Nothobranchius furzeri: one gene and its partner. The protein of the gene in region 2 purifies or fractionates together with the protein of the main gene of each other region. This does not show direct contact. Links are inferred from orthologs where the notes say so. Each region holds a gene or a part of one and is shown on either strand. Other genes may lie near its edges. The genes, in order: foxa1 and nkx2.1.

Evidence for each region.
Region 1: the proteins of nkx2.1 (region 2) and foxa1 purify together in Homo sapiens (affinity purification with western blotting; 3 studies listed by BioGRID and IntAct, with this or other methods). This does not show direct contact. The link is inferred for Nothobranchius furzeri from reciprocal best matches to the Homo sapiens genes NKX2-1 and FOXA1.

What each region holds. Positions count from the first base shown.
Region 1 is NC_091758.1:16,423,301-16,432,194, reverse strand, and holds foxa1 (hepatocyte nuclear factor 3-alpha), read left to right. Parts: upstream 1-3,331; 5' UTR 3,332-3,479; coding exon 3,480-3,545; intron 3,546-5,068; coding exon 5,069-6,238; 3' UTR 6,239-8,224; downstream 8,225-8,894. UniProt on the Homo sapiens protein: Transcription factor that is involved in embryonic development, establishment of tissue-specific gene expression and regulation of gene expression in differentiated tissues.
Region 2 is NC_091758.1:21,179,729-21,188,674, reverse strand, and holds nkx2.1 (homeobox protein Nkx-2.1), read left to right. Parts: upstream 1-3,617; 5' UTR 3,618-3,955; coding exon 3,956-4,322; intron 4,323-4,767; coding exon 4,768-5,465; 3' UTR 5,466-5,956; downstream 5,957-8,946. UniProt on the Homo sapiens protein: Transcription factor that binds and activates the promoter of thyroid specific genes such as thyroglobulin, thyroperoxidase, and thyrotropin receptor. Crucial in the maintenance of the thyroid differentiation phenotype.

The DNA of each region.
Region 1 (8,894 bases), about 4.8 Mb from region 2:
CTGTCGAACTCCAGCAGTCACCAAGTGAGGGGTGGAGGACACCCTGGACAGGCCTCCAGTCCATCACACAACCAGTCACACAGTCACTTGGGTCTCCCTTTTTTTAGAGTCGCCAATGAACCTGCCTGAACTATCTGGTTTTCGTCTGTGGGAGAAAACCCGCACATGCATGAGGAGAACATTGTAACTCCACGTAGGAAGCCTCAGTCTCCTCCTCTTCTGGTTGGCTCACGGGTCTCCGGAAGAACAACAACAGGAATGGAAGTGAATGGGGCTACTAATAAATGGATGGATGAATATGTTTTTTTAAGTGTCATGCACAACACGTTCCCAGCTCATGTGGGCTTCTAAGGCACTATTTAACAGAAACAAGTGGCCATCTCAGGAACACTCCGTGGCGCGGGGGTGGGGGTGGGGGGCTTCAGATACACGCCACTCCTCGACTCCGCTGGTTTTGTGTTTAATCTTCCACATGAAGACAAGGTTAGGTCAGTCAAAGCTGTCAAAAATTAGCTAGAAGGACTTTGAAGCAGCAATGCTGAGATTTGGTGGGATGGAGCTTGAAAAAAAATTCCTTGAGTTGATTCTTGTATTAATTTTTTTCTTTCTTTTAAGGGAAGGGGTGTTATGGCTGGTGCCTTTTTGCCCTGGGAACTGGGGGCTCAGAGCTCCCATTGACGTCATCGCCTGCCCTGAAGGAGAAATGGACAGAACCTTAGCGCTCCCATTAAAGTTGCTTTCTACTCCACTTTGCTTTACACCCTGGATCACACATATGTTGTACTTCAGTTTAACTGAAAATAATTGTGTGTGTTTTGACTATGTCTGCCTCGTGTTTTGAAATATGCTAGCTTGTAAAAATTCCTGATTAAAATGACTACAAATGAGATTTCACATACACGACATCACAGCGTAATCTCTTCTCCCCTAGCGTAACTGCTACTTACCACATGACCAGATTTATAGCAGTTTTTTCCACGTTTATTGCTCCTTCTGTCATCCTGGAAGAAGGATTCAAAGCTCGCTAAACTCACAGCTATTTTCTTCTCTGTGCTGGTCGATGATGTCAGCATGGTGAGATGCATTTGTAGTCCGATGTGTCTTTTCACACAAAACCTGAAATAACTTTTGCCGCCGTTGGAAATCTTGGCATCTAAATGTGTTTTAAATTCATGAACATCATACGTGAAATCCACGGCACGTATCAAACGCGATGTGAAGATACCTTCAACAGCCCCATTGACTTGCAATACATTTTCTTATTTCTGTGGACCCATGGTCTGGAAGTAGATGGGCCTGACTTAGGCTTCCTGTGTGTGTGTGTGTGTGTGTGTGTGTGTGTGTGTGTGTGTGTGTGTGTGTGTGTGTGTGTGCGTGCGCGTGCGTGCGTGTGTGTGTGCGTGTGTGTGTGCGTGTGTGCGTGTGTGTGTGTGTGTGTGTGTGTGTGTGTGCGTGCGCGTGCGTGCGTGCGTGTGTGTGTGTGTGTGTGTGTGTGTGTGTGTGTGTGTGTGTGTGTGTGTGTGTGTGTGTGTGTGTGTGTGTGTGTGTGTGTGTGTGTGTGTGAAGAACATGTTAACTCTACAGGTGAAGAACATGACTACAGGTGAGTCAGCACTGACCTGAACATCAATCTCAGACAGGATCCAGATCTTTGTTCTTACACAAGTTCTGGTCTAAAGACTACAAGTGCTGCAGAGGATGAGCCCATTGGTCCAGATCCAAACTACCATGATCAGATTCAGATCCAACCAGGTTTGGTTCTCAGACACCTGAGTCCTTCAGGACATCTGTGATTTTCCGTGGTGGACTTAAAACCAATATGGGTGAAAGCTCTGAACTGAACTGATCTAAACCCATCTGGACTTGGTTTACAAAAGATAGATTCTCTAGACACAGGTCCAGGACCAGAACTCAAATGAGTTACCGTACATCTTCTGAAACACTCAAACCCGATATGATCTGTAAATAGAACTTTTTTGAGTTCATAGAAGGGATTTTTTCATATCTGTGGTACCAGTGGACCCCATCAGAACCAAAAACAATTGGATCCCCTTTCAAACGCTGAATGTTTTCCTCCAGAGGTGGTTCTTGTTAGTCAAACTTTTGTTCTGGTTATGACAATAATAGGAATCGAGGAATCTAGTCTTCATTTGCCCCCCAACCCCCGAACCCCCTCCTCGGTCTTTGTGTCCTCTTAGTCTTTCGTTAGTGAGTGTCCTATAATCCAGCGCCTCATCCAGTTAATCCAGTCAGATAATGGTGAACAGTGAGCAGTTGTTCCAGTCTGTTACTTCCTCATTAACAGATTTAAACCACCAGACTGGGACCAGTCCTCAGAAAACCAGATCACAAACTCATCAGTTACACCATTAAGGTCACAAAACGTGAAAATCAAACAAAATAAAGATTATGAATGGATAATGTAAAGTTCAGAGAACAAACTAATGACCTTTATTTCCTTTATTATTGTAACTAATAAGAACAATGTATTATTATTATTATTAATAATAAATAAAGAACAGACATTTTGAATTATCTCCTGATTTTTGACTAAAGAATATTATCGCCAAACTGATGTTTTAAAATTTTATTTAAATTAAACTTATTCTGCACATCATTATTGTCCAGATTATTCTTTGGTTGTGTCGAAAACACAGAAAATTGATGTTCAGATGCAAAAGATTCAGACTGATATAATCAATTTTGTCTGTCTTTTGTCTGATCCTTATCAAACTTTTATTTTGAAATGGGAAGTCAGTTTTATTCGTTTAAGTGTTTGTAAAATGATTTTATTCACAAAGAGGATTAATCTTAATCAGACCATCGGGTCTGTGAAGTGATTTTAATATTCTGGGTTTATTATTTATGGTTTATTTAGTTTATTCCTTCAAAATAAAACATGACAGTCAGACACATTTTGTGTAAGAAAACGTAAATCACACTTATTATTATTTTTTTGTTGTTAATGTGAAATGGATGGCTTAGTCAGTTTAATCAAAACGCTCCAGACGTGATCTTTCACAGGATCAGAGTTTTATTGTTTAATTATTTAAAATTTCAATTTCCAGAAATTTGGTGATTTAGTGAAAATATTTTAGATTTACATCTTTAATTTCTACACATTCGTTTGATCTCCAAAACATCCAGAACCCGCTCGGTTCGGTTCGATTTCAACACAGCAGCAACACGAGTGTGTGTGTGCGTGTGTGCGCGTGCGTGCGTGCGAGTGTGTGTGTGTGTGTGTGTGTGTGTGTGTTTTGGGTGGATGGGGGGGAGGGTCCAGAGGGCTGGACCTGGAGGAAAGGGATCACATCAGACCCTCAGACCGCAGGTCACCATCATCATCTCCTCCTCCTCCTCCTCCTCCTCACCCTTCCTCCCTCACTTGCCCGCGCGCCTCCACCTGAACAGGGACGCATCTGGACCGGTCGGACCGAAGCGGGTCAGCAGGATCCGTGCTCCGGGCCAGGACTACCGTGATGCTGGGCTCGGTGAAGATGGAAGGTCATGAAGCTCCGGACTGGAGCGGATACTACAGCGAAGAGGTCGGTTCCGGCTCGGTTCGGTCTGACACAAACGGTTTATTACAATAGGCAATGTAAAAATAAAAGTGCCTGCGCGAGCACAATTAGTGAGTTAGGATCAGAAATAGTTTGTTAAATTTTCTAAAGCTCCTCTAAAGTAAATTTAACACGAAACCGAACCTGGTTCCAGAACCAGATCACAAGTTCGGAGTTTGAACACCAAGATTTTTGTTAGATCAGTTAGAGATTTAATTATTAAATCAGATTTGTGAAGGAAAGTGAAGAAAGCATGTAGCTTCATCAAGTTTACGGTAAAAAGCATGGCAGATAAAACGAGTAAATAAAAACGAATTAAACCAAAAACATTCTCTGGTTAAACCTTAATTGTCTCTAAATTTATGAGGAACAAAAACAATTAAAAACAAATCAAACCAGTGAACAAAACGTGTTTTCTGTTGGTAAAAAACGGCCTGTTTTCACATTGTTTGTTTTTGTTTTTTCAGGGTTTGCTGTGGCTAAAATATACAACACTAAAGTATTTATGATTATTGATGATAATGTAATCTGTTTGTTTTTAATGATATTCAAGTAACTGCTGTTCGGGTTTTCAGAATAAAATTAATCTGAAAACGAGAAAAAAATTATAAAGTTTCAAAAAAGTAAATGTTGCTGATGGTTCGGATGATTTATTCCATGTTTTATTTTTTCACCTGGAAATTTTATTTTTATTAGCTGCTGATTGTTGCCCTCAGCCTGAATGAGATTTAAAAATGTACTTTACTTTAAGCTCTGAAATGATCAAAATAAACTAATAATGAACCATTAATTAAATAAACTTTTATTATATAAAAATGTCTTTATTCAGTTACAAAACGGATCTGATGTAAAAGCATTAATTAAAATATTAAACATAAAATTTAATCAGTTTAAAACAGTGACCTGCTTAAAAAGGAACAATATTTATGTATTAATTATTATTATTATTATTATTATTATTATTATTATTATTATTTAATTTGAAGTTTTTGATTAAAAAAATATATATACATATTTTATATTAAATTTTAACACAGGCTAGGGCCAAAACAACATATTTCTCATTAATCATGAAACTTTATTTATTTTCCAACAGAACTCTAAACACGTTTTGAAAATGTTCTGAATTTATTTTTATCCATGAGGAGTTTGATAAAATGAGACTGCAGAAGAGAAGTCAGAAAACAGCTTTCTGATTAGTTCTAATGCAGTTTATGTTTAAAGCTCCATAAACAAACAGGTTTGAGCTTTTACAAACCTTTGATCTGCTATGGTCTCACTGGACCTTCCGACTTATTTCAGACTAAGTCTTGTCTGATTGATGCTGGATGTTCAGATGGTTCTGATTTAAATGGGTCAGATCTGGTTAAAGTGATTTTAATTGTCTGATTGATCTGGTTCTGTGTGTTCTAGACCATTTTAACCCTCTACTGTGTCTGACTGGTCTTGATAAGCCCTGACAGATTCTGTTCCTTGGGTCCCACCAGCTCTGCTGTGTCTTGTTGCAGGTGTACTCTCCAATGGCAGGCAGTGGGATGGGTTCTGGTCTCGGGATGGCTTCCATGTCAGGCTACATGTCCAGCAACGGGACCACATCTGGCTCCTTCAACATGTCCTACAATGGTACTGGTCTGAATCCTTCCTCAGTAGGGGGGGTAGGAGGCTCAGCTCCGGCACCCATGTCGAGTCTGGGGGGCGGGATGGCTTCCATGGGTGGGGCTTTGAGTCCATCCGGTGTGGGCTCAGTGTCGGCTCAGCAGGCCTCCATGGGCCTGAACCCCTATGGGGGCATGAGTCCCACCATGAGCTCCAGCATGGCCTTCAGTGGAGGTGGGCTGAACCGGACCCGGGACCAGAAAACGTTCAGAAGGAGCTACCCGCATGCCAAGCCGCCCTACTCCTACATTTCTCTCATCACCATGGCGATCCAGCAGGCGCCCAGTAAGATGCTGACTCTGAGTGAGATCTACCAGTGGATCATGGACCTGTTCCCATACTACCGGCAGAACCAGCAGCGCTGGCAGAACTCCATCCGACACTCGCTCTCCTTCAACGACTGTTTTGTCAAAGTGTCTCGCTCGCCGGACAAACCAGGGAAGGGTTCCTACTGGACCCTGCACCCCGACTCTGGGAACATGTTTGAGAACGGCTGCTACCTGCGGCGGCAGAAGAGGTTCAAGTGTGAGAAAAAGATGTCGGTGAAGGGAGACGTCAGGAAGGACCAGATGGTTTCTGGTGGAGGTCAGGGATCCTCTCATGCAGGGGAGTCCACCAAACCCAGTGGACTTCTGGATTCTCCTGTGGCCTCCTCCAGCCAAGTGTCCTCCCACCCTGGTCTGGACCTCAGGGAGGGGGTTGGAGGGGTCTCAGACCTGAAGGTGTCCAGCTCTCAGTTACTGTCTTCATTGTCCCTGCCCCCTCATTCCCTGGCCCACGAGACCCCTTTGCACATCAAAGGAGACCCCCACTATTCCTTCAACCACCCGTTTTCTATCAACAACCTCATGTCGTCCTCAGAGCAGCAGCACAAACTGGACCTGAAGGCCTACGAGGCCCTTCAGAACTCTTCTTACAGCAGTGGGGGCATGTCTGGTCTCTCAGGGAGGACCATGGAGACGCTGGAGGCCTCGTACTACCAGGGGATGTATCCCAGACCCCTGCTGAACAGCTCGTCGTAGCTGCCCGGCCCAGACCTTCTGCATGCAGCTGAACGGGACTCCTGCACTGTGACCATTTTATCATGCTGACGTTTCAGTCTGAGCCAATAAACACTGATCCCAGGTCTGCGGTCTCCTCACACACAGAAACTGCTGAAATGGATTTAGAATCCTGGAAAAGTAAACAGTCTTAAGGAATGTCAAAGGTCACATTCGATTCCTGACAGCAGAGTCCCCCTAAAACCAAGACCTCATGGTCCATGACTGTTGGGAGACGCGTCCCTGTTGGACTCAGGTTCCGTTGATCATCTCGTTACAGAACGATCGGGTTATTTTTCAGCAGAAAATTTGTCCGAAAGTGTCTGAATTTTGTCCGGTTTCTTTCAGCATCTGTCCTCCAGCTCCTCCAAAAGTCGTTTCACATTTCTACGCTTTCTGACTCCTGGAAACCAAACTGAGACAGATCCAGACAGGTTCTAGATGGGTCCCAGAGCTGGACCCAGTGAGAGAAAATTTGTCTTGAATATGAAAATTCTCTATTGAATATGTTCAAAATTCCAGCCTCTTGACAGTGAGACCCTGAGACTCATGAGAGCAAACCCTGGAGAACATTTTCGTATGTTCTGTAAAGTCTTTCTGTCTCCAACAGTCATGCCCGGGTGAAATCCTGGTTTTAGAACTCTGCTGATGCTGCGGTTCTTGTCTGGATTCTTCTACGAGGACCAGATGACCCAACCAGTCTGACCTGGACTCTGTGGTCCTCTTCTTGATCTGGTCAGGACAGTTTGGCATCAGGGTCCTGGACCTGGGTCTGAGTCTGAAGTCGGGTTCAGAGATGAACGTTTTGATTCTGTCAGCAGATCTGAGTTCTGGATCCTGAAGTAAAAACCTTGAACCTGAACTTGGTCCAGGAACTGGACCATAGAGACCAGATCAGAGGTCCCCTCAGCTCTGCTGTCAGTGCTTCAGGTCCAGATCCAGGATGTGTCGGTGGCAGCAGAACCGGTTCATCCTGTGATCGGACCTTTAACGGACCAGCTGAACTATAGATCTCTGACCCTGACCCAGAACTGGTTCTGTCCCGGTCAGGTTTGTTTACCTGATGATGTTGTCCTGGAAACGTTTACAGGGATGGATCACAGAATCATCAGGAAGACGAGGATCTAAATCTCCCACGACCTCGTCTGTCTCCCAGCTGACCTCTTGAAGGGTCATGACCCCCAGTTTGACAATCCCATCGCTGGACCCCCCCCCCCCCCCCCCACACACACACACACACACACTTTTGAATCTCTGATCGTGTCTTCAAAGTTAAAGTTCAGCTGCTGGGAGAGAAAATATAAAACACACATAATAACGTTGGTTCTGTTTAACCCCGAGAAAGTTCTAATTAACCAATTATTCCTAATTTAATCAACCCAGAACATTTATTTAAATGAGTCAAAATCAGTAAAACAGCTTTGATAAAAAAGAAATTCTAAAACTAAAAAAGTGAAAGAAAAACAAAAAATACATTTTATTTAGTCAATAAAAAATCTGCTGACTGCACGAGGAAGTGGCTCAGCCCAACACATTCAGAACCCCTACAGAACCAGAACCAGCGCATCACAGACCAAACCCAGAAGCACCGCAGCTGATCTGTTTTTACTGAGCATGAGATCCGGACCGACCCAAACAGCTGACCCAGAATCAGCCTAAACATCCTGTCCCTCTGGTTTAATGTCCTCCGACCCGGTTCCGCAGACCCAGTTCCACCTGTCTTAATTTAATTTATAAGGAACCAGCTGATGAGCCCAGATCTGAGCAGCAGAACCAGAACCAGAACCAGGCTCTGATGGTGTGTGATTCAGTCTTATATTGGTTGTGTGCATGAATGAGGGGAGAGGTTTCCCGCTGAGTCGGGTCTGTGTTGCTTTTGGACTCTGATGCATGTTCTTAACTTAATGTGTCACTTTTAAATAAAACAAACCGGAAACAATAAAGTTTGTTTCTTTTCTTCTGAGTTCAGACTTTAGAACATGCGCGTGACCATTCTCCACCCGATTTAGATCAAAACAAATTAAACGTAAACAGTTTGTGTGTGTTCGCACATCAGAACCAAATAGCTGATATCAAGTTTCGTTTGAAGAAGAGGTCATTTTGGTTTTAGTGCTAAAATAAAACATTGCTTGTCCAAAATGGGGTCCGAGAGCCGCAGGCGGACCGGTTTTAATTCAAATTAACTAACATTTTTTTAATTTTTTTAACGAATTGTTGAAACATTCCTGTTAGGAAATCAGAGGCTAATTTTAAATAGTTTTGAAATAAAGACATCAGCTCATATGAGACAGAATAAAATATAGATAATAATAATAAAAGTCAAATGGAAATAGGCTAATATATTCTCTTAATCAGCGGACAAAATAAAAGAGAATGTTTTCAAGTCACGAGACCCGGTTCCGTCTCAAATTCGGCCAAGCTCGCAGTGATCCTGAACCGGAAAACGCGCACTTTAAGGCGTTTTGGCTCCGGTGATCCCGGAATTATCCGCTCATTAGGCGCAGAAACTGTAGCGGAGCGCTGAAAGAACCGGAACAAAAGGAACGGAACCGAGTCCAAAACACCCCGATGATGATGATTAACTCCAAAATAACAGCAAAACAAACAACTCAAATAACAACAAACAAACAAAGAAGCA
Region 2 (8,946 bases):
CTCCAAGTGTTTTTCTCCCCAGAAGAAGCTACAGTGATGTTCTGCTGAGCTGTGGTGGCCTCATGGAGAGGGCCATTGGCTTGAACACTGTTGCTAACCACTTAAACATTCTCCCTCTCCTGATAATGACATTTTACTTTCTTTGACATTGAATGTGCTACTACTAGTTTACCCTTTAATTATAGATTCACTAGGATAAATACAATAAAGTTTATCTCTCACCAAATAGAATATTTACTAAGAAATCACAATGTAGCCATAGAAACACTAATTGGTATGTGTGTGTGTGTGTGTGTGTGTGTGTGTGTGTGTGCGCGTGTGTGTGTGTGTGTGTGTGTGTGTGTGTGTGTGTGTGTGTGTGTGTGTGTGTGTGTGTGTGTGTGTGTGTCTGCTCTGTCTTCTCGATCCCCAGTGAGTCGTGGTGGATGGCTGCTTATACTGAGCCAGGATCCTCTGGAGGTTCCTTCCTGTTAAAAGGGAGTTTTCCTCTCCACAGTCACCAAATGCTTGCTTAGGATGAGAATTGCTGTGACTTTACTGAAATTTGCTGGGTTCCTTATATAGGAAACTTTTTACTGATTGGCTTAATGAACTGACCTGTATTGGAATGTGTACTGTGTGATGGGCTTTGAGACAACTCTTGTCAGGATTTGGCGATATATAAATAAACTGAATTGAATTCAATTGATAACTCATACACATATCTATTTTTATTACAATCAAATGTTAATTGAACACACTTAAAAATGGACTTTGAGGAGTTTAATGTGCCAGACCTTCTGTTTAGTGTTGCTGGAGTTGGAATCAACAAGACTCCAAAGTCTGGGTAGAGCCCCAATGTGTCCTGATATCACCTCTACAAATAGCCCACAGGTAACTACAACATGCGCATTTGTTAGCATATTTATAACGTTATTATTATCATTTGAGTAAATGTATAGCATAGGAATAAGATATTACATTTTCTTAAATGTCTCAGTTGTTATTTAGTGTCACGTGTCTCTGGGTATTTTTGTGGCTCAGGATCTCTGCTCTCCACTAGATGGCGGAACAACACTCTGTATCACCATGGAGAACCTCTGATTCTCCTCATGACCCAGGTGGAGGGAGTTTCTGCTCCACAAGAGGCCGTGCTCCCCTGGAGGAATAAATTAAGTTTAAAAAAACTCTTCTATAGCTGCAAAAATTGCCTGGCAACGTCACGTGACGTAAAGCTTCCTGACGCTAAATCCTCGTGTTTAAGTGATGAAGACGTCCACATGCTGGGTTAAAAACCTCATGATTGGTTGTTCAGGGGGACAGATTTGGTGCTAACTGGTTCTGAAACTTGTACACAAAAAATGAGTTATTGTCCTCATGTTTTATTTTGATATTTTTATCGTTATTGTAAAAATCGTTATTGTTTTTTTTAGAAGGGAGATTTTTCTGTGTGAATATGATTTAAGACTTGGAGCTTAATTGGTGGGAAATTTAAGATACTTTATCCAAATTTTGTAAAAAAAATTTATTTGTGAGATGAACATCTAAACCTTTTGGACCACCACCACCAACAACAACAACAACAAAATCAATAATAATAATAATAATAATAATAATAATAATAATAATAATAATAATGATGATGATGATGATGATGATGATGAACTGTGTTTGACATTAGGCTCAGAAATCCACATTTTGTATTTTAACATATGAATTATTTCTTTTTATTTTTAAGTTAAGAGCGTCACCCTGACAACCTGACAATAAAAAGATCAAAACATTTTCGTGAATGACATCAAACTTTTATTTATGTAATAATCTGCTGTATTTTATTGGCAGTAATCTCTCCGGGAACGGTTTAGACTCCTGAAAACAGCCTCCCGGTCTAATTGTTCCCGCTTCCGGTGAATTAGATCATGCACCAATCAGTTCCCGAAACCATGCAGCCTGGATCACCGCAGCTCGATTGTTTCATTCCCGCCTCTGTCTTAGTGTTCTCATTATTCTGAGGAATTAGCCGCAACATTTGGACTAATTGGCGCTAATTGGTCCTAATAAGTGTGCGTCGGAGCGGAGGGAAAGGCGCTGATTTAGATGATTAAGGATGTCTTGCTGGATTCTCTAATTAAGGAATGCATATGCGAGATTTAGCTGTGTTTTATTTGCCTTATGTTGTGATGTGCCCTATACAGATGCTCTGATTGTAACAATGCGTTATCTCATCCGTATGATGATGATGACGATGATGATGATTAAGATGCTTCATTAAAGACGCGTTTGGATGACGAAGATGAGAATTGTTGTGATACTTTATTTATGAACATGCCGTCTTTCCAAGGGACAAACTCACTGATCTGCATACTCACAATACCAGATCCCAGTGTGCAGCGCATGCTCGAATAAATCAAAGTTAAGAACCAGCAGTCAAGCAGACCCTGTGTCACTGCTGAGAACTGCTGCCACCAGAAGATTCTGTGATCTCTAACCTGCAACCACAGACCCTGAAAGAGTTTTAAAACCCCAAATATTCTGTTATTGCTTATATTATTATTTCAGTCTCAACGAGTTCATTACTGCCTCAATTCTGTAACTCCTCCGTTTTGTTGTGCCTTCGGATTTTCAATTCTATTCTATTCTATTCTATTCTATTCTATTCTATTCTATTCAGGTCGTGTCGGTTTAAAGTCGTCGCGTGTTTTCTCACAAGCTTTTCATAAACTATTTGAGTCCTTCTGCCTTCAACAATTTACTGAAAAAATAAAAAAGAGCTTGCAACCCATTATTACTATTATTATTATTATTATTATTATTATTATTATTATTATTATTATTATTATTATTATTATTATTATTATTATTATTATTATTATTATTATGATAAAATAGTAATAATAATAATCGCTGCCTTGAATTTTTTTAAATATTTTTTTTAAATTACAAGTGGGCTAATAATAAACATTAGGGTGACCTTAAGGTTTAGGGTACTTTGCTCCCTAAATAATACTTCCGCATTATAAATAATAATAATAATTTAATAATAATAATAATAATAATAATAATAATAAAGTAAGTTCTTCTGCAGCATTAAGACCCTTTCTCAGGGCTACCTGGCCTCGTGCTCCAGGAGAGGAGCTACTTGAACATCGTTAACTTCACACGAGAGCCTCTCCTGCACCAGACTCGTTTCCCCCTCCTACCTCTTTTCTAGAGCACATCTGAATTTTAGGTAGCATCTCGTCCACTGACATCAAGAAGGAAAATGAAAAGAAAGCAGGGGGGTTAATCATTTACGCAGCACTTAACACGCAGATGTGTATTTATTTACTTATCAGTATCAGTCATTTTCCCTCCCCGCAAGTGCACTTTTGCATGTCTGAGTACGATAAGGCATAACACAAACAATCCTGCAATCACTGGAGGCCTCTCGTGGCCATTAAAAGTCAGTAGTTCAGCTGAGAAGTGGTTCTCCAACTCTCAAGTCCATATAGGCCTCCTTTTCTTCAAGAGGCCCTCGTAAACATCACTACAGTTAATAAAGTGTATTGTGGTCACTGCAGTCCCGAGGTGCAGCGACAAGTCACAAACTCGGCATGCAGCTTCCGCATCAGTCGGGATGAGCATCGGTGTTGGTGGGAGGGGAGGAGAGCACATGTCTACTATAGTGAAATTACGCTCAGAAAAAAAGAAGAAAAAAAGCAGAGTAGAGCTGTTTTGTATTGTTGCTGATGCCCCGCCTCTGATGGTAGCATTAAACCTGGCACCCGGCTAAAACAAACCAAAGCCAGCACCGAGCTCCCACTCAATCCAATTAAGGCGGACTTGAGGCGCTCTCCTACGTCTTCATCTACCAGGATCGACGTTGAGACAACAGGAACCAGAGGGGCTTTGGCCAAAAAAAAAAAAAAAAAAAAAAAGGGAGAGAGAAGGAGAGATTGCCTTGCCTTCTAATTTCTCCCTCTCCAGCCACAGAACAATGTCGATGAGCCCTAAGCATACGACTCCTTTTTCTGTTTCCGATATCTTGAGTCCCCTTGAGGAGAGCTATAAGAAAGTAAGTATGGAGAATAACAACTTGGGGGCACCTCTCACTTCTTACCGACAGCCGCAGGTCTCTCAGGCGGCGATGCAGCAGCACCACATGGGCCACAACGGGACTGTGTCTGCGGCTTATCACATGACGGCGGCAGGTGTCTCCCAGCTGTCACACACGGCCATGGGCGGCTACTGTAACGGCAACCTGGGCAACATGGGCGACCTGCCGGCGTACCAGGACGGCATGAGGAGCAGCGCCACGGCCACCGGCTGGTACGGAGCCAACCCAGATCCGCGCTTCTCCACCAGTGAGTATCCGGTACCGGTATTTGGACCCTATGCGCTTCAGATCTGTGCGTAATGACCAGAATCCAGATGTGTGCGCCCTGGCTGTGTTTTATTGGAACTATTTCAGGTCTGCTTGTGCGTAAAAACCAGTGTAATTTAGATCCCGGTGCGTTTCACTTATTATAAATCCCAAGGTCTGGGTCAGATTTAAGTCTGAGCGTCAATGGAAGTTATTTAAAATGATTTTTTTTATTATTATTATTTTTACCATTTTCAAACATTAAACATGATGGGAGGTTATTAGGTCTAACAAATACGCACCTCCCTAAATAACACTTAAGTTTTTGTAATGATGTTCCAAATTATGTTAATGTGAAGTAAACTTGTAATGATTTTACGCAGTAGCTGGTCCATATTTGCTGTGAATAAATCTGAGTTTGATTTCCATTCTGATATTTTCCCCAGTTTCTCGCTTCATGGGCTCATCGTCGGGCATGAACATGGGAAGTATGGGCAGCCTCAGCTCCCTGGCGGACGTGGGTAAAGGCATGGGCTCCCTGTCTAGCACCCCGAGAAGGAAACGGCGCGTGCTCTTCTCCCAGGCGCAGGTGTACGAGCTGGAGCGGCGCTTCAAGCAGCAAAAATACCTGTCGGCGCCGGAGAGGGAGCACCTGGCGAGCATGATCCACCTCACGCCGACCCAGGTGAAAATCTGGTTCCAGAACCATCGCTACAAGATGAAGAGACAGGCTAAAGACAAAGTGTCCCAGCAGCAGATGCAGCAGGACAGCGGCTCGTGCCAGCAGCAGCAGCAGCAGCAGCAGCAGCAGCAGCAGCAGTCCCCACGGAGGGTGGCCGTGCCGGTGCTGGTGAAGGACGGGAAGCCGTGCCAAGGCAGCGGCCACACGCCCACGTCCACAGCGCAAACGCACCACCAGCAGGGAGGCAATGTCATGATCATGTCCAACAACGCCTCCGGCCTCGGGCAGCACCAGAACCAGCAAGTAGGGAGCACGGGTCACTCCCCTGACATGGCACAGCACTCTTCCAGTCCGCCGTCCCTACAGAGTCAGGTGGCCGGCCTCTCCCACCTCAACTCCCCCGGAGCGGAGTACGGTTCGGCCCTGCAGTGTTCGGCCCTGTTGTACGGCAGGACGTGGTGACAAGAGGAGCTCATTTGAATCCAATCTATTTATCTGATAAAACTCGGCAGGTTTTTATTGTAAATGCGCGCGAGTGAACTTAAAAGCCCGAGAGACTTCGGCCCTTTCGAAAGGGGGGAAAAAACTCATTTATCTCCCAAAAACTGCGGATTTATTGGGATTATTTATGTAAATTATATTGAGTCAAAAGAAGATTCAGTAGTCAGATAGCTGGGAACCCGAACCTGAGCAGGGACGCACGAACACGACCGGACTGAAAGGTGCTGTGAAACCCAGACGAACAGGATTTATTAGAATCAGTGTGAGCTGTAGGTCTAGCGTGTATATTTCTGTAAAAGGTTGGAGTTCTAGCTCTTTGTTGTACAAAGCTTTTGACAATATTGCTGGTTTGTTGTCGTTTTATTGGTATTTGTACGTTTTATTTCTTTGTAACTTATATAGATATTTGACTTACTACAAAACAGTCCTATTAATAAATTATGGAAACAAGACATTTAAACTTTTTTGTGAAGTATATCCAGAAATGCGCCTGTGACGCAGTTACTAATAATTATTTTGAGGAAGAAACGTATTATTATTATTATTATTATTATTATTATTATTATTATTATTATTATTATTATCATTATTGATGTGGACATGTTTTGTTTTCGTTACAAGAACACATATGAAAGCATAACCGCTGGGATAAACATTAACTTTATCCTTTTCTTTGCTCCTCGCTGATAAATCACCGCTCAGGCTCGCGCCGCGGCTCTAACCTGCCCTGCAGAGCAAACTCGACCTTTATGCGCTTTTATTTACCCTCTGTGTGTTTTCTCCCGCGTGGGTGAGGCAGAAAGGTGAGGTTCCTCCGCGCTTGACATCAAACACCAACGCGGCTCAAAGGGCGGCTTATCGATGACCAAACAGCGCACAATTCCTCTGAAAGGACGCGCGCGGCAGTCAGCGGCTTCATCAATAACCGATTAAATGTGAGGATTTAAAAAACGGCCAATTTAATAATCTGAATGAAAACTGTTTAAATAATATTTAAATGTATTTTATTCTGGTAAATTTGAGGCTATCATTTGTTCCATTTCAGGTTTGGTAAGCAGCGACAGCCTTAAACAAACATTAGACACTATTCTCCTGACATGCGATGGAGTTAGGCATTACATTTTCTAAATAGTAAACAATCAGGTTGCTAAGCAACGGAGTTGTGGACAGGTGATTTTCTTTAGAGAGCGAAAAAGCTGGGGTGGAGAAGATAAAAACACGCAAAAAGAAGTCGCTCAGCTAGAGGAGGATGTTCTATCTCTGTACACACACGGAAGTGTTTTTTTTTTCTTTTATTTTGAAACATCGTTCTTCAAATAAACGCGTTCTCCAGTTCGGATAATTTTTCAACATTTCTATTTGAAATGGTTTTTATTAATGTTTTACTAAAATGAAGACGTTTGAGAAGTTCGTTACTATTTTGTTATTACTTCATAATAATACCCCCACCCCCAAAAAACCCCCAGAAAAAAACACACAAATATTCAATTTTGTCTTCTCAAAGTAATTTTTTTTCCGTCTTTTATTATCCGTTAATTATCGTCGACTGCACCTGACTAAATAATGATCTTTCCTCAGGCTCGTTAGGGTAAATGTTTATTATCTCCTCCGTTTCCTTTCACATCCAGTTATTTTTTATCTTTTTTTGCCAAAGTAATCAGTCATTAATGACAGACTAAATGCTACAGGGTTCAGAGCTGAATAAGACTTTATTTTTTTGATTGACACATTAAAATCACGTCTTCTGCTTTTGCGCAGGTTTTCCATAAAGCGAAATAAACAATAACCCAGAGGGTTTTCACCCATGCAGTAAAACTCTGAAAATGTAAACTTTTATTTTAAAATCGTGAATCCAAACTTTCGTTGGTTGAGCTCTTCCTCTGCACACACAGACCGAGGCCACAGGAGAAAAAAGCTTTAAGTGAAATCTTAAACAAGCATCAGAAACAACCTTCTATTAGCTATTTTGCAGCGCGGGTTTTGTTCGGCGGAGGAGTGAGAACTTTGGGATTACATTAACATGTCTTTGGCGCGGTGTGTGGTCTTTGTGCGCTGCTTGTTGGAAGCGTGTGTGCTCTCATCGCTCTCCTTTGTAGGAAACCACAGCGCAGCTCCCAGAGTCCTCCTGGCTTTATGGCGGGCTGTCTCCATCAACCCCAAGCAATTAGTCTCTAATCTCAAGGTAATCATATTGGAGTTAGTGACGAGCTGGAGAATTTTATTCGCCTCTTTAGCTCCGGGAATCCCCTGAGTCGCCGAGGAGTGAAGCCTTGTTACGACAGGATTTTGAAGTTTGAGCGGATATTAAATATGAGGAGAGCTAACGAGCAGGATAAACGCAAACAGTAAAACACGATCAGGCTTAAAAAAATAAAATGTTCTTGTTTTTATTCCTTCTTCGAAATAAACTCTCGACTTATTCTAATTCGACTTACTGAATATTACTCAAATTTAACTGGGATCTGCATCTTATTGATCTAAAAGTCCTCCATCGGTCCTAATAAATCCCAAATATCAGACTCGCAACCAAATAAAACGTTATTCTACCTGTGTGTAGTTGGGCACCATCACATTAAGTTCACATTGAATAATAACAAAAAAAGAAAATTAAAAAGTCACAAAGTCCATCATTTGTTCCTTGTCACACCTAAAAGTAAAGCACGAGCCTGTGTTTGTGGGGTAGGGGAGCTGTCCATGGTGCTGAAAACCCAGTCACTGCTCTCTCCTGTTAAACTACGCGCACGCGCCTGTTTTGTTGCAACAATTTCCTTTTAACTTTGTTTCGGTGTTATAAAATGATACCCTTCCTTTCTTTTTTGTAAACAAATCCACCTTCTGCCACTTTTTAAAAGTTCCTAAACATTTCATCTCCACAGACCTGCATTTCAAATAGGACTATTACACCGCGAACGCAATCACCCCTTTGGTGAATGTTATTGTGCGCCTGCAACAAAAATCTTTAATTGTCCTGCGTTTATCTGCTTCTTCAAACCATTGTGCAAAGAGTACAAACGAGGGTCATTTGTGAACTGAAATACTTTGCATGCAAAGCGAAGCACAAGATGCTGTAACACTTGACCTTTCAGCATAATTGTTGCAGGCATGAAATGCTGCATTCAGGGCTCACTGAGTGGATACGTTTCTCCCTCCCTCCCCCTTAGGAACAAAGTGCATTTTTACATCTTCGGTGTTGGTTTGGCTTTGTTTCTTCTGAAGAAACATTTCTCTATGGGACTGGCTGTAATTTCGCTTCATTTTGCTCGGCTCCAATTACGGGATTTTTCAGTCCAACACTTAACAGCCGTCACGTTCAGCCTCCAGAGCCAGATAAGTTAGACACGCTTCTGACGTCAGGTGTCAAACAAAGATGGTGTGATTTGAACTTTTTGGGACATCTATGAAGGAACTGATGAAGAAGAAAAGGAATTAACTCAACATGCAA